7 linked regions of the Sus scrofa genome follow. The protein of the gene in region 1 binds, or shares a complex with, the protein of each later gene. Links are inferred from orthologs where the notes say so. Each region holds a gene or a part of one and is shown on either strand. Other genes may lie near its edges. The genes, in order: SMARCA4, PBRM1, SMARCD1, SMARCC2, DPF3, SMARCD2 and ARID1A.

The links.
Region 2: SMARCA4 (region 1) and PBRM1 share a complex: the UniProt entries of both Homo sapiens proteins name them as parts of the SWI/SNF-B (PBAF) chromatin remodeling complex. The link is inferred for Sus scrofa from reciprocal best matches to the Homo sapiens genes SMARCA4 and PBRM1.
Region 3: SMARCA4 (region 1) and SMARCD1 share a complex: the UniProt entries of both Homo sapiens proteins name them as parts of the BAF complex. The link is inferred for Sus scrofa from reciprocal best matches to the Homo sapiens genes SMARCA4 and SMARCD1.
Region 4: SMARCA4 (region 1) and SMARCC2 share a complex: the UniProt entries of both Homo sapiens proteins name them as parts of the BAF complex. The link is inferred for Sus scrofa from reciprocal best matches to the Homo sapiens genes SMARCA4 and SMARCC2.
Region 5: SMARCA4 (region 1) and DPF3 share a complex: the UniProt entries of both Homo sapiens proteins name them as parts of the BAF complex. The link is inferred for Sus scrofa from reciprocal best matches to the Homo sapiens genes SMARCA4 and DPF3.
Region 6: SMARCA4 (region 1) and SMARCD2 share a complex: the UniProt entries of both Homo sapiens proteins name them as parts of the BAF complex. The link is inferred for Sus scrofa from reciprocal best matches to the Homo sapiens genes SMARCA4 and SMARCD2.
Region 7: SMARCA4 (region 1) and ARID1A share a complex: the UniProt entries of both Homo sapiens proteins name them as parts of the neuron-specific chromatin remodeling complex. The link is inferred for Sus scrofa from reciprocal best matches to the Homo sapiens genes SMARCA4 and ARID1A.

Annotation. Positions count from the first base shown.
Region 1 is NC_010444.4:69,807,063-69,809,919, reverse strand, and holds the end of SMARCA4 (transcription activator BRG1), read right to left. Parts: intron 2,242-2,857; coding exon 1,855-2,241; coding exon of another isoform or gene 1,830-1,854; 3' UTR 501-1,829; downstream 1-500. UniProt on the Homo sapiens protein: ATPase involved in transcriptional activation and repression of select genes by chromatin remodeling (alteration of DNA-nucleosome topology).
Region 2 is NC_010455.5:34,814,618-34,818,117, reverse strand, and holds part of PBRM1 (protein polybromo-1), read left to right. Parts: intron 1-1,389; exon of another isoform or gene 1,390-1,467; coding exon of another isoform or gene 1,468-1,515; intron 1,516-3,144; coding exon 3,145-3,297; intron 3,298-3,500. UniProt on the Homo sapiens protein: Involved in transcriptional activation and repression of select genes by chromatin remodeling (alteration of DNA-nucleosome topology). Required for the stability of the SWI/SNF chromatin remodeling complex SWI/SNF-B (PBAF).
Region 3 is NC_010447.5:15,999,278-16,002,777, forward strand, and holds part of SMARCD1 (SWI/SNF-related matrix-associated actin-dependent regulator of chromatin subfamily D member 1), read left to right. Parts: intron 1-1,043; coding exon 1,044-1,179; intron 1,180-3,317; coding exon 3,318-3,440; intron 3,441-3,500. UniProt on the Homo sapiens protein: Involved in transcriptional activation and repression of select genes by chromatin remodeling (alteration of DNA-nucleosome topology).
Region 4 is NC_010447.5:21,569,765-21,573,264, reverse strand, and holds part of SMARCC2 (SWI/SNF complex subunit SMARCC2), read left to right. Parts: intron 1-71; coding exon 72-185; intron 186-653; coding exon 654-807; intron 808-1,484; coding exon 1,485-1,577; intron 1,578-1,810; coding exon 1,811-1,930; intron 1,931-2,028; coding exon 2,029-2,091; intron 2,092-2,430; coding exon 2,431-2,689; intron 2,690-2,933; coding exon 2,934-3,095; intron 3,096-3,360; coding exon 3,361-3,425; intron 3,426-3,500. UniProt on the Homo sapiens protein: Involved in transcriptional activation and repression of select genes by chromatin remodeling (alteration of DNA-nucleosome topology).
Region 5 is NC_010449.5:95,981,855-95,985,354, forward strand, and holds part of DPF3 (zinc finger protein DPF3), read right to left. Parts: intron 3,327-3,500; coding exon 3,245-3,326; intron 2,747-3,244; coding exon 2,676-2,746; 3' UTR 1-2,675. UniProt on the Homo sapiens protein: Belongs to the neuron-specific chromatin remodeling complex (nBAF complex).
Region 6 is NC_010454.4:15,090,536-15,094,725, forward strand, and holds the start of SMARCD2 (SWI/SNF-related matrix-associated actin-dependent regulator of chromatin subfamily D member 2), read left to right. Parts: upstream 1-1,390; 5' UTR 1,391-1,466; coding exon 1,467-1,682; intron 1,683-4,190. UniProt on the Homo sapiens protein: Involved in transcriptional activation and repression of select genes by chromatin remodeling (alteration of DNA-nucleosome topology).
Region 7 is NC_010448.4:84,077,229-84,080,728, forward strand, and holds part of ARID1A (AT-rich interactive domain-containing protein 1A), read left to right. Parts: intron 1-681; coding exon 682-1,134; intron 1,135-2,820; coding exon 2,821-2,937; intron 2,938-3,500. UniProt on the Homo sapiens protein: Involved in transcriptional activation and repression of select genes by chromatin remodeling (alteration of DNA-nucleosome topology).

The sequences.
Region 1 (2,857 bases):
ACATCTGCTGCTAGCCGTTACTGCTAAGGGCTAAGCCGGCTTGGCTCTGGTACGAGGGGCTTGGGGGCGAGACTCTGGAATGTCGGGACTCAGTCTTCCTCACTGCCACTTCCTGAGCGGTCCTGAAAGAGGGACAGGAAAGAGTAGGAGTCAGTCCTGCCCACAGGAGCAAGCCCCCCGACTGGGACCAATCCCGGCTTTAAACACACCCAGTCACCAACATAGGTGGTACAACTGCTTTCCCCAGTGAACGATACACACGAGCTCCATGAGGCTGTGGGTGCTGCCATGGCCAAATCCCAACATCATTTTTCTCCCAGGGGCTGCCCCAGTGCCCATACCCACTCCTCTTTGGGACCTGGGAAGCTTGCTGGGCCCTCCCAGCTCCGTACCATCGTGGTCTGTCTGTCCCTGTGCTCCTGACCTGTGGCTTTACAGCTACCTTGGCCATTCGTGACTACATAAGATCTTTGCTTTTCTGTCTGAACTTTTTTTTTTGGTCTTTTTGCTATTTCTTTGGGCCACTCCCACAGCATATGGAGATTCCCAGGCCAGGGGTCGAATCGGAGCTGTAGCCACCGGCCTACGCCAGAGCCACAGCAACGCAGGATCCGAGCCGCGTCTGCAACCTACACCACAGCTCACGGCAACGCCGGATTGTTAACCCACTGAGCAAGGGCAGGGACCGAACCTGCAACCTCATGGTTCCTAGTCGGATTCGTTAACCACTGCGCCACAACGGGAACTCCTCTGTCTGAACATTTTAAACAGCCTGGCGAGGGCCACAGAACACCCTGCTGGATCCTGACTGGGCAGATGAGGAGCTTTACAGCCAAGACACGCCTCTCCAGAAACAGGGCCACCCCTCTCCACGTTTACAATGTCATTAATGGCCCTATAAGACCATGTACATTGACAGTCAGATTTATCCTGGGGCACCTGGTTTTGCTGCTACTGCAGTTAGACAAGAAAAATAATGACAATGAAATGGTGCTTTGCTGGGAGCTAGGCCCTGGGTCGTCCCTGCTTCACAGCTGTGGAGACAGGCTCAGAAGTGAAGTGAATCGCCCAGGTCCCATGAACGGAAGGGCCAGGCACTGGGCTGCAGCTAGAAACAAAGCTTAGTTAAACCCAGTGAGTGAGTCTGCTCCTGCCGCTCACACCCATGAAACTGTCCATTGTGGGCTTGACGCTCCCGAAGCTCATCTTGGTGTGTGGGGACCACAGCCCAGGCCCAGGGGGTCCCCCACTGAGGAACCGCTCACAGCCCATGTTCAGTGTCTGCTCCGTTCTGTTTTTATGACTTTGGGTTACGGGTTTTTTGTTTTTTGTGTATGTTTTAACCCACTACCATTGTTTAGAAGTCCTTGTAGAGGCCAGGACAGAGCCACAAGCAGAGGCCTGGGCTGCATGGTTTGTGTCACATGCAGTGGTGACACTATGGCAGCCTTGGCTGTGGAGGGCCCTGTGCTGAGGGCGCTGGGGCCTGTCTGATGGCATCGCCATTCCCAGTGCCTCCCGTCCCCCCAACATGATAAAGACTGTCCCTGTCGGCCTTAGCATGGCAGCCCAGACATTCTGGGCAGCGGGAACCGGATGGATGACCTGCCTAAACCCCAGATGCCCACTGGCTCTAAGCGCACTGGTTTGAGGGTCACGTGGACCAGGGCTTGAGTCACATGGCATTTAGTATTGAGCCTCAGCTTCCTTACATGTGAGAAGCCGAGGCACCAGAGCATCTACCCTCACGGGACCACAGAATGGAGTCTGGCACCTGCATGGGCATGGATGTCCAGTAACCCGCCTGGCCTGGGTCCTGAGGGCCTTACCTCCTCCTGCTCCTCCTCACTGTCATCATCGCTCACCACCGGCTTGGCCCTGGACCCACGGCTCGGCCGCCGCCGGCCCCCCTTGAGCCGATCCTGGGCCTTCTCTTTCCGGCCAAGCTTGATCTTCACTTTGACCGAGCGAGCTGGGGTGGGACCAGAAGAAAGAAGATGTGAGCTCGGGAGAGGAGGGTCCCCCTGGAGCCGTGCAGATGGTGGAGGAATGGGGCCTCAGGTCCTCTCCCTCCAGTGCAGCTCCACCCACCCCCACCTGGGACTCACACTCCGACTCCGAGCCTTCCTCCTCGCCCTCCTCCTCCTCCTCGCTCTCCTCCCCTTCACTGTCATCCTCCTTCTCGATTTTCTGCCGCACACTGGTGAAGACCGACTGCAGGACAATGGAGTCTTCGTAGATCTGGGTGGAGATACACAGGGCTCATGTGCATGGCCCAATGCAAGGGAGCTGCCTGCCCACTTGGCCGTGGCAGAAAGACAGCTGGACAATCCTTTCCCAGCCCGAGCCCACCAGGATGAAAAGGTTCCAGGCAAAAGGTCAGGCATGTCATTCAGAAACAGCCATGGGTTCCTCCCTCCCTTGATGAATCGGTGAGCATCCTCTTAAAGGCTCTGAGAGGGTCTGCAGCAATGTGAGAAATGCATGCCTCTCGTTAAAGCCAGAGTTTTCCCCAATTTTATGACTAGCAAATCTCTTCCAGAAGGTACCCATCCCAACACTCAGGAGAACTCATAGTCTGGGCTCTGTGTGTGCACGTGGACTTAATCACAGGACAGGAGACAGTGCAGGCTTACTTTCAAGAGTCCCCTAGTGAATCCAAACAGATCCAAGATGTACATGGGCTGTTCTCAGGGTTCTCCTGCATGGACAGGACTGAGTCTGTTTCCACTATTTTTTGTTTTTATTTTTTGGCTGCACCCGCAGCATGTGGAAGTTCCTGGGCCAGGGACTGAACCCAGGCCACTGCAGTGACAACATTGGATCCTTAATCTGCTGCACTACCAGGGAACTCCTA
Region 2 (3,500 bases), on another chromosome or scaffold:
CAGCTCCAATTTGACCCCTATCTTGGGAACTTCCATATGCTGCCGCCAGTGTGGCCCTAAAAAAAATAAAAAAGAAAAAAAAATGCTGTTCCTGTGTCCAAGGGAGCATGCAGTCCTAGAGTTAAAACTTAACACTTTTGTTGTGCTTTGAAGTTTCAAAGTGATTTCACGTACATCTCACTGTCACGACAATCTCAGGGAGGTATGTACACTCTAGTGTTCTCATTTTAGAAATGAAGAGACAGATCTGAGAGGTTGTAACTCAAGCAACATCAAATGGATAGAGATGAAAGACTTGGGTCTCTTGTCTTCTGAGCTCAGGTCTTATTGCTCCTCCTACATTTCCTTTCTTGCTAAACTTCCAAAATACATTTTAAAATGTATTCTTTGGATGAGATTTGAAAATTATTCTTAGGTAATAAGGACCTTTTTTTTTCTTACCAAAGTAAATTAATGATTCAAGGAGTTTTTGATGTTGTATGGTCTAAACTATATATACATATACCCCAGTGATTTACATTTTTTGTCATTTGATTTTCAGTGGATTATTTGCAAAAGTAATTTTGATCTCCTGCCACATGGTTGAAGGCTTTTTTTTTTTTTTTTTTGGTCTTTTTAGGGCCTCACCTGAGACCTATGGAAGTTCCCAGGCTAGGGGTCAGATTGGAGCTGCAGCTGCTGGCCCACACCACAGCAAACCAACTCTTCGTCTGCGACCTACACCACAGATCACAGCAATGCTGGATCCCTCAGCTACTGAGCAAGGCCAAGGATTGAACCCACATCCTCATGGATACTAGTTGGGTTTGTTACCACTGAGCCATAATGGGAACTCCACCCCCCCCTTTTTAAACCTTTCCAAAGTTGCATGTGGTATCCTTTCAATGCTCTTAGGACTTTAGGAAAGAAATGTCTTTCTCTGAATTTTTTTTGGTGAGTTTTCAGACTCTTTGCTCACATGAGCCATTCTTAGTTTGTTCCAGCTTGCTAACATTTGGTGTCACATGTGAGCCTTCCACATGTGTTCACCCTTCATTCCAACTCTAATTGAACTCTGCTCTTATTGACTGGGGGGCAGTTGGACAGGCATGCTTCATTCCTGGAATTGACAGTCATTCCAGGTGAGTAAAGGGGAGCCTCAGTGAGACATCTTTAAGCATGTGAAAAGCATTTGGTTTTAAAAATGGAAGCAATGGAAGCGTACTATTAGTGCCTGCCCCTTTGCAGTGGTTTGCTTAGCAGAACAGAACTGATATGCCTGTTTTCTTCAGTTCTCTTATCTTTCTTTAGCAGTTCTGTTTGAATGTTTTCTATCTATCCGTACTCATTTTTGCTCTTTCTGACCCTTCTTTTTATTTCCCCTTTCTCTGCCTTGTTCTTCTCTTTCAGTTTTGAATATATTAACACTGAATCAGCACTTCTAAAGCCCTGCCTTCTCCCCCTGGCTTCACTTGGCCTTCAGACATAATGAGGAGACTGGCTTTTCGAGGCGCTGGTTGTGCTCTGGTAAAGCTGGTAAATTACTGATCATCTACACCCTTTTCCTTTTCTGTCCTTCCTTGCCTTTTCCCTTCCACCTTTCTTAAATTTTGTTATCCTCTTCATAAAGAGTCCCACCTTATGTTCATCAAATTCACTTGTGTCCTCGTCATAGACTGTTTACAGAAGTCTGGTCCTTAGTTTCTTCATCTTAATGAAGTAAGGCCAGTTTGTCAACCTTTTATAAAGCAAACAAAGATCAGCAATATTTGGCTGGCCTTGGTCTAAGTCCTTTGAAGCTTCGGCCAATTGCAAACTAATACACTGTATAACAAACCAAGTCCCGTAGGAAGGAACATCATCACTTTAGACTCTGTGTTTAAACACCATGTGGATTGCAGTTCAGAGGAAGAGATAAGAAACTCCTCTTGTTTCTTAGTTGGTTACCAGAATTTGTTATTTGTTGGTTTGTTTTGCTTCTGCTTTCTGTTCCCTGGAGATACCCAGTTTTTCTCTCCATACCACTGGCAGCCCATTCTTTCAGCTGTTAGTGTCTTAGTTTCCTGAAATTGAATGTTGATGAATGACATTGGGATCACTTTTTTCTTTTTGCTTTAGAGAAAGACTTTTGAAATCATAATATACTGCCTGATGTTGTTAAATTGTATAAACCTTGTAGGACTTTCTTGGGTATACACCCTTTCCCTCTAGCTGTAGCAGATCATTTCAGTAGTTGCATTTCTTGTGTTATAGTCAAATATGTGTATCTGTAAAGTTGTGTTAATATTATTTAGTAGCCTTACTAAAACCGAGAGCAAGTATTTACATATTTCTGAAAGGCCAAGGAGGACCTAAAAGTTCACTTCTGAGGTGGTCTTCCAGATCACCTACTGAAAATATAAAGCTGTGAGTTCCTTAGAGTAGAGCTGAGTACGTCACATAACTGAAAAGGAAGTTAGTCTGGATTAACAGAAAAGTTTTAAAACACAGATTTGCTACTTTAGCATAGGTACAGTAAGTCATGTTAAGTGTTTTAAGGAATGGAGAAAACTCAATTTTCAGTGTGTTAATTTAGGGCATATCTGAAATGCTAGAAGGTTAACCAGTCCTCTGTTCCTCTACCCTTTTGCACTACATATTTGCATCAAGGTCTGCTTCCAGTTTTTTTTGTTTTTTGTTTTTTGTTTTCCCCCACATCCTGGCCCATCTGGAGATTGATCATAATTGTAAGAAACACGGGGGAAAACAAATGAGGTTGCTGACTCCAGAGGTGACCACCTTGGGGTCTCTGTCCCTGAGGCCTGCCTAACTGCCTCAGAGACTAAGGGATTAATACCTTTAACACACTGGTGTACCACTGCATTTTCCAAACTCCAGTCCAGAATAAATTTGAGGCTAGAAGTGATTGATTCCTTCAAAATTGGTAATGTACAAATGAGTATACTTTTGCTGAATTTGTCCCATCCAAGTAAGTGTAGCATTCTGGTAAGCGAAGGGGCTAAAGCAAGATTTAGGACTTGCCCTGAAAAAAAGTAGTTAACCTTCTTTGCAACAGTTTAAATATCCTCCAAAGTGAACCAGAAGCTTGGTAGTCAGTGGCCAGCTGAGGGCTTGGTGGCAAAGTATAAACTTAAGTATAAGAACATGGCTAATTATTTCTTATAGAAGAAGTTGGATTCCATGGGTTCCAAGAGAAGAAGAGCTACCTCCCCTTCCAGTAGTGTCAGCGGGGACTTTGATGACGGGCACCATTCTGTGTCCACACCAGGCCCAAGCAGGAAAAGGAGGAGACTTTCCAGTCTTCCGACTGTAGACCCTGTGAGTAACTTGGATCACAGTTTCTGTCTTCTGTCTTCGCTACCCTTCCTCCGATGATAAGCAGTTATGATGCAAGGCCTGTGTGCTTCTTTTTCCTCTGGTTTGATATTCTCAATTTTTCTTTTATGAAAAGTATATATTTAGCCAAAAGTATTTGAGTGATGGAGTAATTTAGTATTATGAAATAATAAAGTATATCAGCA
Region 3 (3,500 bases), on another chromosome or scaffold:
CAGAGCTACGGCTGCTGGCCTACGCTGCAGCCATAGCAACGCCAGATCTGAACCACACCTGTGACCTACACCACAGCTCACGGCACACCAGATCCTTAACCCACTGAGCAAGGCCAGGGATCGAACCTGTAGCCTTGCGGTTCCTAGTTGGATTTGTCTTCTGCTGTGCCACAATGGGAACTCCGAGAAACTACTTTTTGCTGGATGTCTTTTGTACCATTTGAATTTTTACCACTGAGGGTTTTGTTGTCTTTTGTTTTTTAAAATCTTTTTAGGGCCACACCCATGGCATATGGAGGTTCCAGGCTAGGGGTCTAATTGGAGCTACAGCTGCCAGCCTACACTGCAGCCGCAGCAAAGCCAGATCTGAGCCACATCTGCGACCTACACCACAGCTCATGACAATGCCAGATCCTTAAACCACTGAGCGAGGCCAGGGATCGAACCTGCATCCTCATGGATGCTATTCAGATTTGCTCCATTGACCATGATGGGAACTCTGCCATTGAGGTTGTTTTTTAAATCAACTTTATTGAGGTTTATATGCAGTATATCACACCCATTTGAAATATGGGTGAATAATTTTGGTCAAATGTGTGCATTCTGTAGCGACCACCACAAGGAAAGGGCAGAGCATTTATGTCGCACCCAAATGGTCTCTTGTGCCCTTTTGTAGTTAACCCCTTGCCCTTTAGTCTTGGACAGTCTTTTTGTTTGTTTTTCTTTTTTGCTTTTTAGGGCCACACCCATGGCATATGGATGTTTCCAGGCTAGGGGTCTATAATGGAGCTGCAACTGCCGACCTACGCCACAGCCACACCAGATCCGAGCCAGGTCTGTGACCTGCACCACAGCTCATGGCAACGCCAGATCCTTAACCCACTGAGCAAGGCCAGGGATCAAACCCACAACCTTATGGTTCCTAGTCAGATTCATTTCCGCTGTGCCATGACGGGAACTCCTGGTTTGGACCTTTTTTTTGACTCTGTGTGATTAGGTCTTAGGGGACAAGCCCTTTACCAAGCCCTTGTTTTCCTCCCCAGTGTTGACCCGAATGATCAGAAAAAGACAGCTTGTTATGACATTGATGTGGAAGTGGACGATACCCTGAAGACCCAGATGAATTCTTTCCTACTGTCCACCGCCAGCCAGCAGGAGATTGCTACTCTAGACAACAAGGTAGGGCCCGGGCCCTGGATGATGGGGCCACCAGCCCTCTAGCTTAGCTGCTTGGCTGCTTTTCTTTTGTTGTTTTCAGTGGACATGTGGAAGTTTCTGGGCCAGGGATTGAATCCAAGCTGTAGCTGCAATCTTCGCTGTAGCTGCAGCAAAAACAGATCCTTTCACCCACGGCGCCAGGCTGGGGATTGAACCCCCTCCTCTGCAGTGACCCAGGCCGCTGCTGTCAGATTCTGCGCCACAGTGAGAACTCCTGCTTTTGAGTCTTGATATTCACTCAGAATGTATTCATACCTAGTGTATGTGAGGCACTTTGGTGCTGGTTGGAACCAGACACCCAAGTTGTGCTTCATAGCTTAATAGCTTTGGGCCTCATTTTCTGATTTGTGAACAGAGACCGTAATACCTGTTTCTCTAAGGTCGTTACAAGCATTAAAGGAGACAGTACATGTAAAGACATGACATTGTATCTGGCGCATAAGATCAAATGGTGGGGTTCTTATGTGGCTCAGTAGGTTAAGGGTCCAGCCTTGTCACTGCTATGGCTTGCCTGGCTGCTGTGGCACGGGTTCAGTCACCTGGCCCCGGGAACTTCCATATGCCAGGGGTGCGACCAAAAAAAAAAAAAAAAAAGGCAACTTTTGTTCCTATTGTTATTATCATTAACTTTAGACATAGTCTGTGCAAGTAAAACCAAAAAGGCTCTGGGAACACAAAGGAGAGCAGGCAGACTTTCCTGGAAGAGCTGACATCCCAACTACATTTTTTTTTTTTTTTTTTTTTGGTCTTTTTGGGCATGCATATGGAAGTTTTCAGGCTAAGGGTCGAATCAGAGCTGTAGCTGTCAGCCTGCGCCACAGCCACAGCCATGCCAGATCCGAGCCACATCTGTGACCTACACCACAGCTCACGGCAACGCTGGGTCCTTAACCCACTGAGCGAGGCCAGGGATCAAACCTGCATCTTCATAGATACTAGTCAGGTTCGTTAGTGCTGAGCCAGGACAGGAACCCCCCAACTAAATCTTGAAGGACAACGTGGGAGTTAATGACAGGTGAGAAAGGATGATGGCGCTTAGGGGCAGAGAGGTCAGAGAACATTCCAGAAAGAGAGGACAGGGTATATGAAGGCCCCGAGAGGTGCAGAGAGCCTGGCATGTTCAAGAAGTACTGTGTTAATCTCAGCTCAGGGCCCTGGAGAAGGAAACTGGATCGGGAAGCTGGGGTCTAGTCATGAGGCAGCTTTGATGCAGGGAGAACTGGTGTATACTTTGTCCTGAAAACTGAGGGCCTGGTGCGCATGCGTTTAGAATGATCACCGGCAGCACATGGGGAGTGAACTCTCAGGGGGCAGATCTGGCGCCAGGAAGTTAGGTGGTGGGGCAGTTAGGCGTGTGAGGTGTGCTGAGGGCCTAAACTTAGGGTTCTGACAGTGAGGATGGAGGGGAGTAGGCAGCCCGGGGAGGTGTGAAATGGCACTGAAAGGATTCGGACCCTGGATGGAGACGGCGGGGTGAGGTGTGGGGAGAAGAGGCTTTGTGCCGACCCCCAGCTCTCCAGCTAGCCACGTAGTCCTAGCACCCGGTTGGAAACAGGCTTGGGGGAGAGATGGTGCATTTCGTTTGGAGAGTTTAAGGTGCCTTGAGTGGTCAAGCAGTTGGATTGGTGGGCGTCTAGAAAACGGGCTCTGGTTTGCAGACCGGGGACTCTTCACCCTGTCAGAGGTCCTGGAAGATAGCTAAGGAGATGATGTCACCAGGAGGAGTGCAGAGAACCAGAAGAGGGCAGAGGACAAAACCCACAGACCAGAGCTTTCGAGACAGCCTTCGGCACCACCTCTTTTCTGCCTGAGAGTGTTTCGGGACCCCTTTGTGCTGTGGATTAAGTGTTTACCGTGTGGCGTCCCCCACTCTGGACATTGTGGAGACTAGAATGGGGCCCACAGGGACACAGGGCATGTCACCTGTGGAACGAACATGAACCGGAGCCAGGGCTGGGGGCTCTGGGCAGCAGTGCCTTTTCTGGGCCACACTCTGTTCCTGGGTTGCGAGCGGCACAAGGAGAAGTCAGACGCTGTCTGCCGTTTGGCCCTGTGTTCCCCCAGCGTGGAGATGTCAGGAGCTTCTTCCTTCCTTTCAGATCCATGAGACAATAGAAACTATCAATCAGCTGAAGACCCAGCGGGAGTTCATGCTGAGCTTCGCCAGAGACCCTCAGGGTTTCATCAACGACTGGCTTCAGTCCCAGTGCCGGGACCTCAAGGTAGAGGACCCGGGACAGGTGCAAAGGGACTTGAGGCCTGTGAGGCTCACAGTTGCTTTT
Region 4 (3,500 bases), on another chromosome or scaffold:
TCCTTGGCTCTCTTAGCATTTTTCCTGCCCTTCAGCCCTCTCATCGTTCGTTCATCCCTCTCTTTCCTAAGCTACCTGGCCTATCGGAACTTCATGATCGACACTTACCGCCTGAACCCCCAAGAGTATCTCACATCCACCGCCTGCCGCAGGAACCTGGCGGGTGATGTGTGTGCCATCATGAGGTGTGTCTGCAGCTGAGGGGCCGTGAGGGGGGCAGGGGGGATGTGAGAATATCTGCCTGCAGATGCTTCTTGGCCGAAGTAGAAAGGCCAGCAAGGTGCATGGGGACGAGCAGGAAAAAACACCTCTGGGGAAGGTGAAGTTCAGGTTTGGGTGTGGGGGGCTTGAGGGCATGCGGGGCACTCTCTGGAGTGTGAGTCCTTCACTCTCTGAAGGGGCATGTCTGTAGTGAAGGACCTTATCCCGTGAGATACCCAAGAAGAGATGTTTAGTGGGCGAGTGGACATGCAGGGGCCACAGCTGTGAATGGAGACTTGAGTGTCACTGGCATTTAGGTGCTGGGAGTAGGTGGGACTTTTTGGGGAGTAGAAGGAGCAGAGAAGAGGGTGCCCCCACCTCCACCCGAGCCCTCCTCCTCCAGTACTGTCTGGCTGTCCCATGTGACCCTGTCTCTGCCTCCGTCCTCACAGGGTCCATGCCTTCCTAGAACAGTGGGGTCTGATTAACTACCAGGTGGACGCTGAGAGTCGACCAACCCCAATGGGGCCTCCGCCCACCTCTCACTTCCACGTCTTGGCGGACACACCATCGGGGCTGGTGCCTCTGCAGCCCAAGACCCCGCAGGTAGGGTGAGGGGCTGTGGGGTCAGGGTGGGGGTGGGCAAAACGGGCCTTCTTTGGACTTTTCTTTTTCTGGTTTTTTAGGGTAATGGTTCAGAAGTGTTTTGAGGCTTCTTCCTTTCCCATAGGACGCAAGGGCCACAGGATTCAGCCCCGTGTGCTTAGCACCCTCTCTCAGCCTTTGTACCTAAGACTGTGAGGACTTGCTGAGGGAGAAGAGATGCTTCCTGTCCTCAGGGAGCAGACAGGCTAACCTAGGGGGATGGGGCAGAGAGAGAAAAATGGCTTAAAATGAAGTTGCATGAAATTTTTTACCTTTGTCACATTTCCAACATTTTTTCATTTTTGCTTCATAATTTTTATCACTTCCATTTTTTTTTCCCACTTCCATTTCATACATTACAACAATTTAGAGGAGAAAAGCTATGTGGCTTGCCCAAGGTCACACATGTAGGATTAGAACCTACTTGTCCAGCTCCTAAGAGAACCTGTAAAGATACCTGTGAATACAAATGGAAATCATGCCAACTGCAGATCTAATTAACCATTGAGGGAACACGGAACAGTGGCATGAGTGCCCCCCGAGCTTGCGGGCTGCCCAGCATTTGGTCTTGAGGCCTCCAGGGCCTCGGCTTGGTCATTTCCTGCCCAGCCTCCATGACGCCAAGCTCTGTCCCCCAGGGCCGCCAGGTTGATGCTGATACCAAGGCTGGGCGAAAGGGCAAAGAGCTGGATGACCTGGTGCCAGAGACGGCTAAGGGCAAGCCAGAGCTGGTAGGTGGGGTGTAGACCCCGCTGGGCTTCTTATTTGCCCCTTTATTGGGGGGCCCCTGCCCGGGAAGAAGAGCCGTGAGAGCAGAGGAGCTACAGCAGTGAGGGAGGAAGTCCCGTCCAGGGGTGCCCCTGGCTGTGGGAAAGAAGCTCCTTCTGTCTGTCCTCTCTGTCTGTCTGCCCCTGGCTCCTGGCGGGCACGCGGACTCACCTCTTTCTTTTCCCTCCACAAATAGCAGACCTCTGCTTCCCAGCAAATGCTCAACTTCCCGGACAAAGGCAAGGAGAAACCGACAGACATGCAGAACTTCGGACTGCGCACAGACATGTACACCAAGAAGAACGTCCCCTCCAAGGTAGGGCGTCTCGGGCTGCCCCGGGGGCAACGCACCTTTGCTCCTCGAGGCCACGACCACGGCCGCCTCCCTCTGACCCGCCTGTGTTTCTCCTGCAGAGCAAAGCTGCGGCCAGTGCCACTCGAGAGTGGACCGAACAGGAGACGCTGCTACTCCTGGAGGTAACTGGGGCAAAAGGGAAGGCGAGTCGTATGAAAACGGAAGCAGCCAGGCTGCCAGCCGCACTCATGAGTGGGAAGAGTGTGATCTGGCCCCGGTTCCTCTCCTTCCTGGCGCTCATCACACCTGCCCCAGGGACCAGCTCCAGGCCCAGGGACTTGGGCCCGTTTCCTTAACTCCTTGTCCTTCCTTAGTGCTACTTGGAGATTGCCCTCGGACTCAGCAGAGTACACAAATACCACAGCCTAGAAAGCTCTGAAGCAGCTCCATTGAGTGGGTTGGGGGGCTGACCTTCATGGAAGGTGGCTGAGTCAGTGAAGTTGTGTCTCCACTACCACCAGGCACTGGAAATGTACAAAGATGACTGGAACAAGGTATCAGAGCATGTGGGAAGCCGCACGCAGGACGAGTGCATCTTGCATTTTCTTCGGCTTCCCATTGAAGACCCTTACCTGGAGGACTCTGAGGCCTCCCTGGGCCCCCTGGCCTACCAGCCCATCCCCTTCAGCCAGTCAGGCAACCCTGTGATGAGCACCGTTGCCTTCCTGGCCTCTGTCGTCGATCCTCGAGTGGCCTCTGCTGCGGCCAAGTCAGCCCTAGGTAATGCAGGGGGGCTCCAGCCCCTTGTCGTTTGCGTTTGAAGGGCTGGGTACGCAGGTCATAAAACTCTCTCCCTCAAGTTTGGCTGCCTTCCTGGCCTTGTCTGCTGCTGGCCTCAGTCCTGGCGCCCGTCCAGCTCCCTGCAGGTTTAGGTGATGTGCCGGGCTTGTGAAGAAGCTCTCACTGGGAGAGCCAGAACTGCCCACCTGCCCGCTCCCAGCCTCATCCTCTCTGGGTCTTGCAGAAGAGTTCTCCAAAATGAAGGAAGAGGTACCCACGGCCTTGGTGGAGGCCCACGTTCGGAAAGTAGAAGAAGCAGCCAAAGTGACAGGCAAGGCCGACCCAGCCTTTGGCTTGGAAAGCAGCGGCATTGCAGGAACCACCTCGGATGAGCCAGAGCGGATAGGTGAGGCCTGGCCAGGTCCCAGACTCCATTTTTGCCAGGAGACAGAGCCACCTGCCTCCCCACACCATCCCTGCCATCCTCGGGCCTCGGAGCACAAGATGCATGGGGAGGATTGGTGGGGGTTTATTTTCCCCAGCGATTTCCCTTAGGCACCGTGGCTCCCCCCGGTCCTGTCATTAAGGTCTTGGCTAGGAGAAGGGGCTGTTGGAAGAGCATGGTAGACAGACTGTCAGACATTTCCCATTTCCTCTTCCCCTGGGCCCAGAGGAGAGCGGGACTGACGAGGCACGGGCAGAGGGCCAGGCCACAGAGGAGAAGAAGGAGCCCAAGGTATAGCGGGACTGACGGGGCCGGGAGGGTGGAGGGGGCCAGGTAGGAGCTGTGGTCAGGGTGCCGGCTCCATCC
Region 5 (3,500 bases), on another chromosome or scaffold:
GAAAAGACAGGACAAGTCTTATTACCTCCATTTCACAGACAGGCAAACTGAGGTTCCGAGATGTTAAGTGACTTGCCCAAGGTCACGCAGCTACTCGATGGCCGGGGCAAAATGAAAACCCTGACCATCCACATGCACCTTGTGATATTCTGGCTCTTTCTCTGGGGCCCAAATAAAGAGCAATGTGAAGTTGACCAACACCTTCCTTTTTTCAGTACAGAAGGCGATAAAGGTGACCGTCACTTTTGTTTGCTTGCAGTATCCTGCAGGTGCCACCCACAAACTGGCTTTGCTGCCCCCACTTTCCACGTAGAAACTGAGGTCTCTGAGAAGGAAGGGGTCAGGCCCATCCTGCGGGAGTGAAACCAGGAAGGGAACTCTGGGCCTTCCTGATGTCCAGTCCAGAGCCCTGGCCACCCTCACCCCTGCAGGAGGTTACAGCGCCCTCCTTGGCCTGCAAGCTGTCACAGCAGGCACGCCTGGAGAGAGAACAGGACCACCCCATCATCTGCCTTGAGCTGGGGAACAGATGTGCAAATGCTCTAAAGGGGTCTGTCACCTGGAGGGCCACTGTTTTGGTTTCAGATTTGATTTTTTTTTTTTTTAACTTTTAAGCCATTCGTGGCTTTTGATGACTGATGTGAACATTTCGATGACTTTCTTCCTAAAATTAAACCAAAGTGATTTTCAAAACCAATAACCAGCCTTTGAGGACACCCACTTCGGGGTCTGTGGGAAGACAGAGAGCCGGAGCGATCCGTAGGGGAAATCTGTCCTCCGACGAGACCCTCCCAGATAAAGGGGTGATGAGACCACACGGCCACTTCCCAAACCCTCTCTGGGCCTCCAGAATCCCCAACAGGTTCACCAAGCAGCAGGGGAAGGAAGTATCCTGCAATGAAGATGAAAATCCCATCTGCTGGGGCCCTTAAACGAGATCATCACATATGGGTGGAACTCCCTCCACGGGGCCCCTGCAGGAAAGGGACCCCCTTCTCTCACCACGGGTCACCCTGCCAAGGACGGGGGAGATCAGCATGGCTCGGCTCCGTGCCAGGCTGCCCTGGGTCTGCGGGCCAAGAGCAATTAGCCCGGAAGGCGGGCTCTTGGCAAGTCCGAACGCTGCGGCCGGACAGGAGGGGCCCAAGTGGCCGGAGCCTCCGGGCCTCCAGGGGCTTCTTCAGGAGCCGAAGGACAGAAATAACCCGGGTCTTTGTTGTAAGCAGCCGGCCACGGAGATGGAGCTGATTTCAGGGAAGCCGAGCATGCGCCAGGGTCCCGCTCACCGAGACCTGCCCTTTGGGCAAATGAGTTTTCCAGAAACGTGTCAGTTATTGTGTGTCGCTGCTGTGGCCCCTGCCGCAGAGAGGCAAAGGCAACCCGGTCTGCTCCAGCCCCCGGGGCTGACTTCTAACACAGACTTCCTGGAACAGCTCTTTCTTCTCGAAACACTCGTTCAAAAGGAGAGTTTGGCATCTAGTGGGGAGCGTAGGAGACCAGGGCAGCCCTCGGGCTGAGGGTTCTGTGTGACTCTCATCCTGGTCATAAGCTATCACATCACCCCAGTTCTTTGTCGAGGGGACCCTCCTTTCTCCCCGATCCTGAAATTTCCAGAATCAGTTCTCAGTGGGCAATGACACACACACACACACACACACGATGCAGAGGGAAGGAATTACTCGGGAAAGGAATTCGCAGTGTCACATCAATACTGCAGAGTTTCTCAGCGGCCGTGCTTGGTACCGTCATCCAGACTCTTGACCTGGCAGCCCTTTCACTCACCTTCCTGGTTCCTGAGTCCCAGTCGGGGAAGCTCCAGACCCAGGCTGAGTGGAAGGCTGAGTTTTGGCGTCTTCCTCTGCCACAGGCTCCCTCTCCTCTCCTCAAGGAGGCCCCAGCTCCAAGGGGCTGGTCCCTGGCAAAGCTGCACGATGGACAGCAAATACTGACCGGCTCCAGCGGGGCCTCTGAATTATCTCAACATTTCTACCTGCCCCTCCCTGCTGCCCCCTCCCTCCCCAGCCCCATCCAGAGACCACCAGGCTGTGGACACCCCTGGACATCCAAGGGGGGCCCAAAAAGCAGCTCTTCCTCTTCACAGAGACCAAGGAGCAAGGAAGGATTTCAGGGCTCCTTCGTCTAGATGGCCTCCGGGCTCCGAGTCTAGAAGTTTCCAGGGAGGCTTGTAATAAATAAAAACTTCTCCACAGCCCTTTGCTCCTGGGCTGAGTTCAGGATGAAGAGACTAAGCTGGGGGCAGGGAGGCTGGGCGAAGATATCTCGGAACACAATAGATAGAAACACCAAACTGCACATGAGGGACAGATGGGTCGTCACAGGGTGCCCAGTGGTTCTTTGCGACGGGGACCAGTGCGAGCAACGCAGGGCTGGGGTGAGGGCGAGGGGCCTCCATGGGGCTGCGGCTGGGCTCGTTCTTCGAAAGTTTCCCATCTTTCTGGCAGAAACAAGGGGGTGCTGGCTGAGTACGGAGACCCGTGTGTAGGAGGTGAGCGGACCCCTCACCCTCTTGCTTCCATGTGTCCACGCCCTCTGTGGTCACTGATGTTCCTAACAGTTGGTCTGTCTGGATATATGGGAGTAGGGGCTCGATCTGGTTTGAACCGGGCTCAGGTTCAGCCTCTCCGGCAGCAAGTCACATCCCGTGACCTGGGGCCCTAGGCCTGGCAGCCGAAGGCCGAGGCTTTTTCTTTGAGCAGTTCCCAGCATAAGTGGCAGCTCCAGCTCCCTGTAAGAAACGAGATGGTGTTACTGGCTGCCCCTCTCCAACCCCTGGGCCCTAAACCCTTTGCAAGCCCTCTTTTATTGGACTTGCATGATTCAGAGAGGAGGCCCAGGCCTGAAAACGTTCTGAAGTCTGTCCCTCAGCTGAGAAAACAGTAAGTGCTCGGAGATGGTCAGCTGACTGCTGGAAGGACCAGCCCTCTTGGCTGTGCCTTTTAACCAGCATCCCTGGGTCTCCCCTTTCCCCTAGAAGCTCACACCTCCCCTCATCTCAGCCGTATGTCTGGGAATCATCTCTCTGGCCCTCAAGTTGAAATCTCTGGTTGAAGCTGTGCCTCAGTTTCTTCATCTGTAGCATGGTAGTGGTCGCACTGACCTCGTAGGGTTGTGATGATTAAATGAGACAAGACATGTCAAGCCCTTAGCACGAGGCCTGCACAGTAGCGAGGGCTCGGTAAGTGGTGGAAGTAGCTGTTGTTTTTGTCAACCCCATCATCCTTACCTTCTGGGGGTTCAGCCACTGGAGGATTTAAACAGTACATGTGATAGCCGCGGTCACAGTCATCGCAGAAGAGCAGCTGGTCCTAGTGGAACGCACAGAAGGTGGAGAGGAGGAAAGACTGAGTTATTCAGAACCAACATCTGCCCACGCCTCCAGCCATATTTTCATCATCCATCTTCCAGGCCCCATTTGGGGTCGTCACTGTCCCCTGAACATGCTTTGTGCTTTGCCCACATCTGGAATCCCCCCTCTATCT
Region 6 (4,190 bases), on another chromosome or scaffold:
CAGACTGACAGGTAACCCACTTTTAGGGAGAAAGAGGAGAGGGATCCCTGAGAAGACCAAGAGGCAGGAAAGCAGCAGCAAAAGCAGGGTTTATCACTGGAGGAAAGATACCAGGAAGTACAGATGAGCAAAACTGACTAAAAATGGTTGCTCTATAAATGTGGAACGCTGTGGGGCAAGTCTTGGTTGGGGATGAAAACAAAGGAGAGGATTTGTATGGTAAAAAAGTCTATCTTGGATACTTAAAAAGTGTAGTCTGAGTAACAACAGCATTGCTCAGGAGCTTGTTAGGAATGCAGAATCTTGAGCCTACCCTAGAACCCAGGCCTACTGAAACTTAATCTGCATTTTTAACAAAAGCCTCAGATGTTTCTTATGCTCCTTAAAGAAGCACTGGTCTGTATCATGGGGAAAAAAAATCCCAGAATGTCAGAGGGGCTCCCTGGCACAGCTGAAGCAGCTTTATTTTGCATACCTGCTAACACAGATCTGATTTCCGAAAAGGTATTAAGTTTTTGAATAGTGCTTTAAATCCTGGAGAAAGACCTTATTTAACTTAGGGGTTTCTCATAATGCAAACTTCCTTCTCCTAGAAACATTTCCTCTGGAGTAAAGTATTAGAATTCCTTAAAGTGAGGCAGAGGCACGTTCGAAATATGCGATAAAAACTTGGCGCTTGGCCAAGTCCACTCTTCGCACAGCTGCATAGGGTCTGGAGCAGCCAAGTCTCTTGACAGCTCTGAGCCACTAGGATGGGCTTTTAGAGTCACGCTGGCGGCTGTTCTGCCGCAGAAAGCAGCTTTAAGTTGTCTGTAATGTTAAAACGTAGAAAGGAGCTCTGACAACTATTTTCAGGGACCGAGGCTGGGTACCTCGGCGAACCAGCCGCAAGGGGGGAAGAGAGCAGCAACTACCCGTTTACTACAGTAGTGCTAGTGACCTTCGACCTCTGACCTTCTGCATTTCTTGAGTTGCTTCCGCCCCCTCCCCTCCAGTGGAGGGCCGGCCCAAGGGTATGGGCGGGGCTCCGGGGACCGGCGGTTAGAGGCGGTGCCTGTAGGGGGGCGGGTCTCGCGAGGGCGGTATTTGAGGGGGCATCCTCGCATTGGCCAGCTGGGTATAGGCGGGGCCTAGCGCTGGGCTGGGTTAGGCGGGGGAGGGAGTTAACTGCAGCTTCTGGGTAACTGGACGCTGGCGTTGAAACCTCCAGAGACCGGCGAAGGCTAGCGGGCCCGTAGCGGATCCCGGATCCGGAATTTCCCGGGCAGGACCGGAATCAAGACCGGCCCGGCCCCAAACTGGGTTTGTGAGGAACTCGCGAACTTGGATTAGGAAATCCCGGAACCCGGATCAACAAACCCCAGAACCCGGAATTTAGATCGGAAAGTCCCGGACCGCGGAGCGCGGAGCGAACTCAGCGCGGAGCCCGGAGCCCGGATTGAGACACCGCGGGACGGGACGGAGCGATGTCGGGCCGTGGCGCGGGCGGGTTCCCGTTGCCCCCGCTGAGCCCTGGCGGCGGCGCGGTTGCCGCGGCCCTGGGAGCACCGCCTCCGCCAGCGGGACCCGGCATGCTGCCCGGACCGGCGCTAAGGGGGCCGGGGCCGGCTGGAGGCGTGGGGGGCCCGGGGGCCGCCGCCTTCCGCCCCATGGGCCCCGCGGGCCCCGCAGCACAGTACCAGGTGAGGAGGGCTGAGGGGCGGGCGGCGCCGCGAGCACACTCGGGTAGGGGGCGAAAGAGGCCTCGAGTGAGGGTCCTGGAGCAGCCTTCCTGACAGAGGGCACAGGGGCTCTGCATGCGGAGTTCACGGGGCACTGTGCGGGGCAAAGCCAGGGACTCTGGGGCTCGGCTAGGTGGTTGCGGAGGAGTTAGGGGAGAAGGTAAGAGCGACTCTCGGGTGAAGGGTTTGAAGCTGTTGGGAGGGTGTGAGGTCTTGGAACAGGGGTTCTGAGTAACTGAGAGATGGAGGAGTTGTTGGAGCTAGTGAATTGTAGGCGGGTGGCTTGAGAAGTCTAGTGTAGATTCTCCGCAATGGGGTCCTGGGAAGTGATGAGAAAGTTTTGGAAAAGGGCCCTCACTGAGAAACCAGGGTTACCCTACATTGGTCTTGGTCCTACTCCAAGGCTGCTCTTTTTTCTCTAGTTGGGAACTGGCAGAGTTTTAGCGTGTCTGAGATGGCTCCCAGCTGCTGAGGAGGAAGAAGGGCCTGGCTTCCCACCGACAGGAGGTGGAGGATAGGACCAGCGATTCCAGCCTGTGCAGGGGGAGTCTACTCCTGGGTCATGCGCAGGGGCCTTCACACAGGGGTGACTCTGGGTTAGACCAGAGAGGGTGGTGGCTAGGCCTGAGAAAGGAGGGAAACCCAGCCCATTCTGGACAGACTCTCTTTGGCTTTCTGCCTGGTGTCACAGTGTCCAGGAGTTGATTAGTCTGGGGGAGCATAGAGGCTCCAGTGAGCCTTGCTGGTCTGGGGCTGGAGGAGCCTGTGAGAGTTGCTTCAAAGGGTTCTGTCCTTACCTCTTTGGTGCTTGGCTTTGCAGAGGGCTTCTTGGGTTGCAGCTTCAAAGGCCATGGAGATGCAGAGACTCCATTCTTGGGGTCAGTGTGTGAGGAACTCAGCCTGACCCTGGGGTTGGGGCTTACCAGCCCCCAAGTTCATTGTTTCTGGTTGCCCCAGAATGCTTAGGAATTGTGCCCATTCTTTTCCTACCCTCTGTCCACTTTTTTTTTTTTTGTCTTTTGTCTTTTTAGGCCTGCACCCGCGGCATATGGAGGTTCCCAGGCTAGGGGTCGAAGCAGAGCTGCAGCTGCCAGCCTACATCAGAGCCGCAGCAACGCCAGATCCGAACCATGTCTGCCACCTACACCACAACTCATGGCAATGCCAGATCCTTAACCCACTGAGTGAGGCCAGGGATTGAACCTGCAACCTCATGGTTCCTACTCGGATTCGCTTCCAGTGCACCACAACGGGAACTCCATCCCCACTTTTAATTAGCCTTTTAGGTTCTCACAACGCCATCTGTATCCCAATCCATGTATCCCAGCACTTGACACTGGCTTCTTGCTAATCTCTCAGGGAAGCTAGGAGATTCTCGTGTCTCCAGTAGAGGTCCCCCAAATGGATCCTCATAGAGTAGGGTACACATCCTCCCAGGACCCCTGGGCCTTCACTTTGTAAAGAGATGCTTAACTGGGGACAGTGATTTTTCCCTCTAACTTCTCATTCTCCCTCCACCCTCTAAAGAAAACCTAGGGCCTGGGTATTGATAGAGACAGACCTGGTCCCAGCGGCTCCAGCTGGGATTCATCTTTCCCATCTTGCTCTCCCCCTTGGCCCAAGGTGTCACGGAGGGGTCCCTGCATCTGTCATTCTGGCCCTTGGGCCAGTTAGCTGAGGTGCCTCCCTTTGGGCTGTTGGCCTGGGAGGGATCTAAAGGGCAGATAGGAGCCCCTCCACTTTTCCTCAACCTGCAGCCCATGGGGAATGTGGCCTGGGGAAAACCCCTGAGCAGGTGGCCTCGGGCAAGTGGCAGGGCTGAGCTGGCTGGCTGGGTAGCCCAGGCTACCAGGAGCAAGACCTTGAGGAAGGCACTGAGCCTCTGCTTGTGTGGGCTTCTCCCCATCTCCTGCTTCTCTTCCAGGGACCAGAGGGGCAGTAAAGGTAGATGGGGGGAAGGAGGAGGCAGCTCATCTTGAGTGCAGAGAGGATCCTACTTGGCCTCTTTTCAAGTTCTTTATGTGACTTCCAGGAGAAGAGACTTGAGATCTCAGGAGCAATGGGCACCTCTCTGTTGGGGCTCACGAGGTGAGTCAGGGAGCAAGGCGCTCAAGCTCACGGCGGGCAAATAGGCAATCTTGTTGATAGAAGGGAAATGATGACCCAGCTCCTTGCACGCAGTGTTTCCAGCTGTGGATCACAGTCTACTAAGGAACTTGAAGAAAACAAAAAATGGGAAAAACAAACCCCCCCAAGAACACAGATTGCTGGGTTCACACCAGAGAGTTCAGAGTATTTTCTACGTATGTGGGGGTATGTTCTCTTCTCCTTGGTCCTTAGGCCCAGCCACCAGGAGCACCAGGGCCACAGGCTCTGAGCCCTGGCAGAGCATGCTCTCTGGAGGCAGCAACATCGGGCTGGCCTCTCTCCCCTGCTGTCCCAGATGGTGGAGGTAGAGTCCTGTTGAAG
Region 7 (3,500 bases), on another chromosome or scaffold:
TGATAATCACACTAAAAATGGTGACGGATAAATATAAAAACCTAAGACTTTAAAGTATGCCCTTAAATACAGTCACTTTTTTTTTCAATGAGAAAATGGAAGAGAGTTGGGTGGTTATTATTGGTCTTTTTTTTTCCCCCTACTTGCCAAACATATCCACAGTACCTAGAGTGGTTCCTGGTACAAGCAAGCAAGTAGGCTCTCAAATACTTTTTCAGGGAAGACTAAATGAAAAAGAGAAGCACGGTAGTTTAGTCTTTGGCATACCACCTAGATTACTAAACTCTAGGTTTTCAGGTGGATTAGGCAGGTTGCTGTTGACTATTTGTTGTGGCTAGGATACAGATTTCTAGCACTTATAAAGACAGAATAGGCTATGATAAAAAAAGAGTAGGCTCATTGGTGAAAACAGCTGCTCTTGAACTAAGCTGTCCAAATATTAAATAGTGTAAATTTTCTGTGGATGAGTATAGTCCTCTTGTACAGGTAACCAACTGGTAACCCAACTTGGCTGTCCTTTCTGGCTCAGTTTAACAGGGTGGGTAGAAAACCCTAGGCCTTCTAAATGTGAGGCTTGGCTTGCCTGCTTTCTGTATTCATCAGGTAAAGCTATTTCAGGACATAGCTTCTGATAAACTACCAGAAGTATCAGTGCTAAAAGTATCCTTTTCTTTCCTACAGATTCCTCCTTATGGCCAACAAGGCCCCAGCGGGTATGGTCAGCAGGGCCAGACTCCATATTACAACCAGCAAAGTCCTCACCCCCAGCAGCAGCAGCCACCCTACTCTCAGCAACCACCATCCCAGACCCCTCATGCTCAACCTTCATATCAGCAGCAGCCTCAGTCTCAGCCACCACAGCTCCAGTCATCTCAGCCTCCATATTCCCAGCAGCCATCCCAGCCTCCCCATCAGCAGTCCCCGACTCCATACCCCTCCCAGCAGTCCACCACCCAGCAGCATCCCCAGAGCCAGCCCCCCTACTCACAGCCGCAGGCACAGTCTCCTTACCAGCAGCAGCAACCTCAGCAGCCAGCATCCTCGACGCTCTCCCAGCAGGCTGCGTACCCTCAGCCCCAGACTCAGCAGTCTCAGCAAACTGCCTATTCCCAGCAGCGCTTCCCTCCACCACAGGTAAGATGCCCCTTCCTCTTGCCCTTCCCTGTGTGTGACCACAGACGGTTTGGGGGTTGGTGTCATAAGAACTTTGCCATCCAGATTGGTACTCTAATGTGCACTTAAAAACCAATTAAAATCTGGGTAAACATGCTAACTGGATTGATTGAACTAATAAAGGCATAACTGCATAGAAACCTGTAGCTCTCCTTATTGATAAAGTAGGGCAATGGAAAGTTGCATAGACTAATAAAGATAAGGGGGCTGATTTTTTTTTTTTTTTTTAACTTAGCATTCAGAACTTGAGCATCCAAGTGAAGTTGGGTTTTTGGGGTTTTTTTTGCTTTTTAGGGCCGCACCTTGGCATATGGAGGTTCCCAGGCTAGGGGTCGAATTGGAGCTACAGCTGCTGGCCTAGACCACAGCCACAGCAATGCCAGATCCAAGCCACATCTGCAACCCACACCATAGCTCACAGCAACACCGGATCCTTAACCCACTGAGCGAGGCCAGGGATCGAACCCACAACCTCATGGTTCCTAGTCGGATTTGTTTCCACTGTGCCACAGTGGAAACCCCTGGTCTTTTTAAAAAACAGTCACTTGGGATGCTGTATTATACATTCATTCCAACTGCCGTTCATTCTGCTATTGCTCAAAATATTCTGGACCCCTTCATTTGAAATTGCCATCAGAGCTGACATTACATCCTTTAGAATATTCTCAGTGGTGGTAGCAAATCCTTTTATTTTTTTGAGACTGGATTTGATTTTGGGAAATATCAGATTTCTAAAATTCATTTATTGCCATGTCTATGAACAAGGTAGGTGATAAAGTCTAAAAATAACAATTTGGGCTTTATTCTTTTAAGAGCAAAAAGAGGAGAAATTACTGAGTGATGATAAGTCCACTAAAGATTTTGTTCATTGGTGGCATTGTTGGAATAATTTTCTCATCCCCAGGTGTGTCTTTAAAGGAAGCAATATTCTTTTTTTTTCTTTCTTTTTTTTCTTTTCTTTTTTTTTTTTTTTTTTTTTTTTTTTTTTTTTTTTTTTTTTTTTTTTTGGTCTTTTTTTGTCTTTTCAGGACTGCACTCATGGCATATGGAGGTTCCCAGGCTAGGGGTCGAATCAGAGCTGTAGCTGCAGGCCTTTACCATAGCCACAGCACTGCTGGATCCGAGCCGTGGCTGGATCCGAGCCGTGTCTGAGACCTACACCAGAGCTCATGGCAACATGGGATCCTTAACCTACTGAGCAAGGCCCGGGATTGAACTGAATCTTCATGGATACTAGTTGGGTTCATTAACCACTGAGCCCACGACGGGAACTCTCCCGGAAGCAATACTCATTTTAATGCACAGGTTCTAATGTGAGGATTTTTTTTTTTAATTAATTAGGCTCATTCCTTGATAAATATAATTTGTAGTTAGCCAGACTTTAGCATTTATCCCCAAGGAACAGCTTTCTGTGGGTGGTGATAAATGGTTAGCAGTGCCATCAGAAAGGGTTTTATGTCCACTTTTGATGCTCTTGAGAGCCACAGTTTGTATTTTTCTGCTTTTGGATAATATTGTGTGTGATTGGGCGATCATTCACACCCAGCTTCCCCTGTGTAAGAAAGTCCCATAGCTGTTTCACCATGAAGCAAGCTTGCCTGGTTTATTAATACCAGACTCTCACAACTTTTGTTTTTCTTATTTTAGGAGTTATCTCAAGATTCATTTGGGTCTCAGGCATCCTCAGCCCCCTCAATGACCTCCAGTAAGGGAGGGCAAGAAGATATGAATCTGAGTCTTCAGTCAAGACCCTCAAGCTTGCCTGTGAGTATTTCTGTCACCTTCTAAAAGATGATGGGGGGAGGGGGAGTTCCTGCTGTGGCACAGTGGGATCCCAGGTGTCTTGGGAGCCCGGCCTGGCACAGTGGGTTAAGGATCCAGCATTGCTGCAGCTGTGGCTCACATTGCAGCTGCAGCTTGGATCTGACCCCTCATCCCTGGCCCAAGAACTCCATATGCCAAGGGGGAGCTGATAGATAAATAGATAGATAGATAGATAGATAGATACATACATACATACATACATACATACATAGATACATAGATAGATAGATTAAAGATGATGAGGGCAGAGAGGAAAGCAAAGAAAACCAGTTTCTGATTGGATGTTTTGATGATATTCAGCTAAATGAACTATTCCTTGAATTCAGGCTCAAAAATCTGAAAGGAATTTATAGACCGGCCTTATTATTGTTTTGGTTTCCTGCCCAGGGAAGAATATGTTTGTGATCTCTAGAGATCTAGACACTGTTTAAAGTTTGTTTTAAATCTTGGGCTCTTAGGTGTGGGCTCAGGTGAAGGACAGAGAAGATGGAGATGGTAGAAGC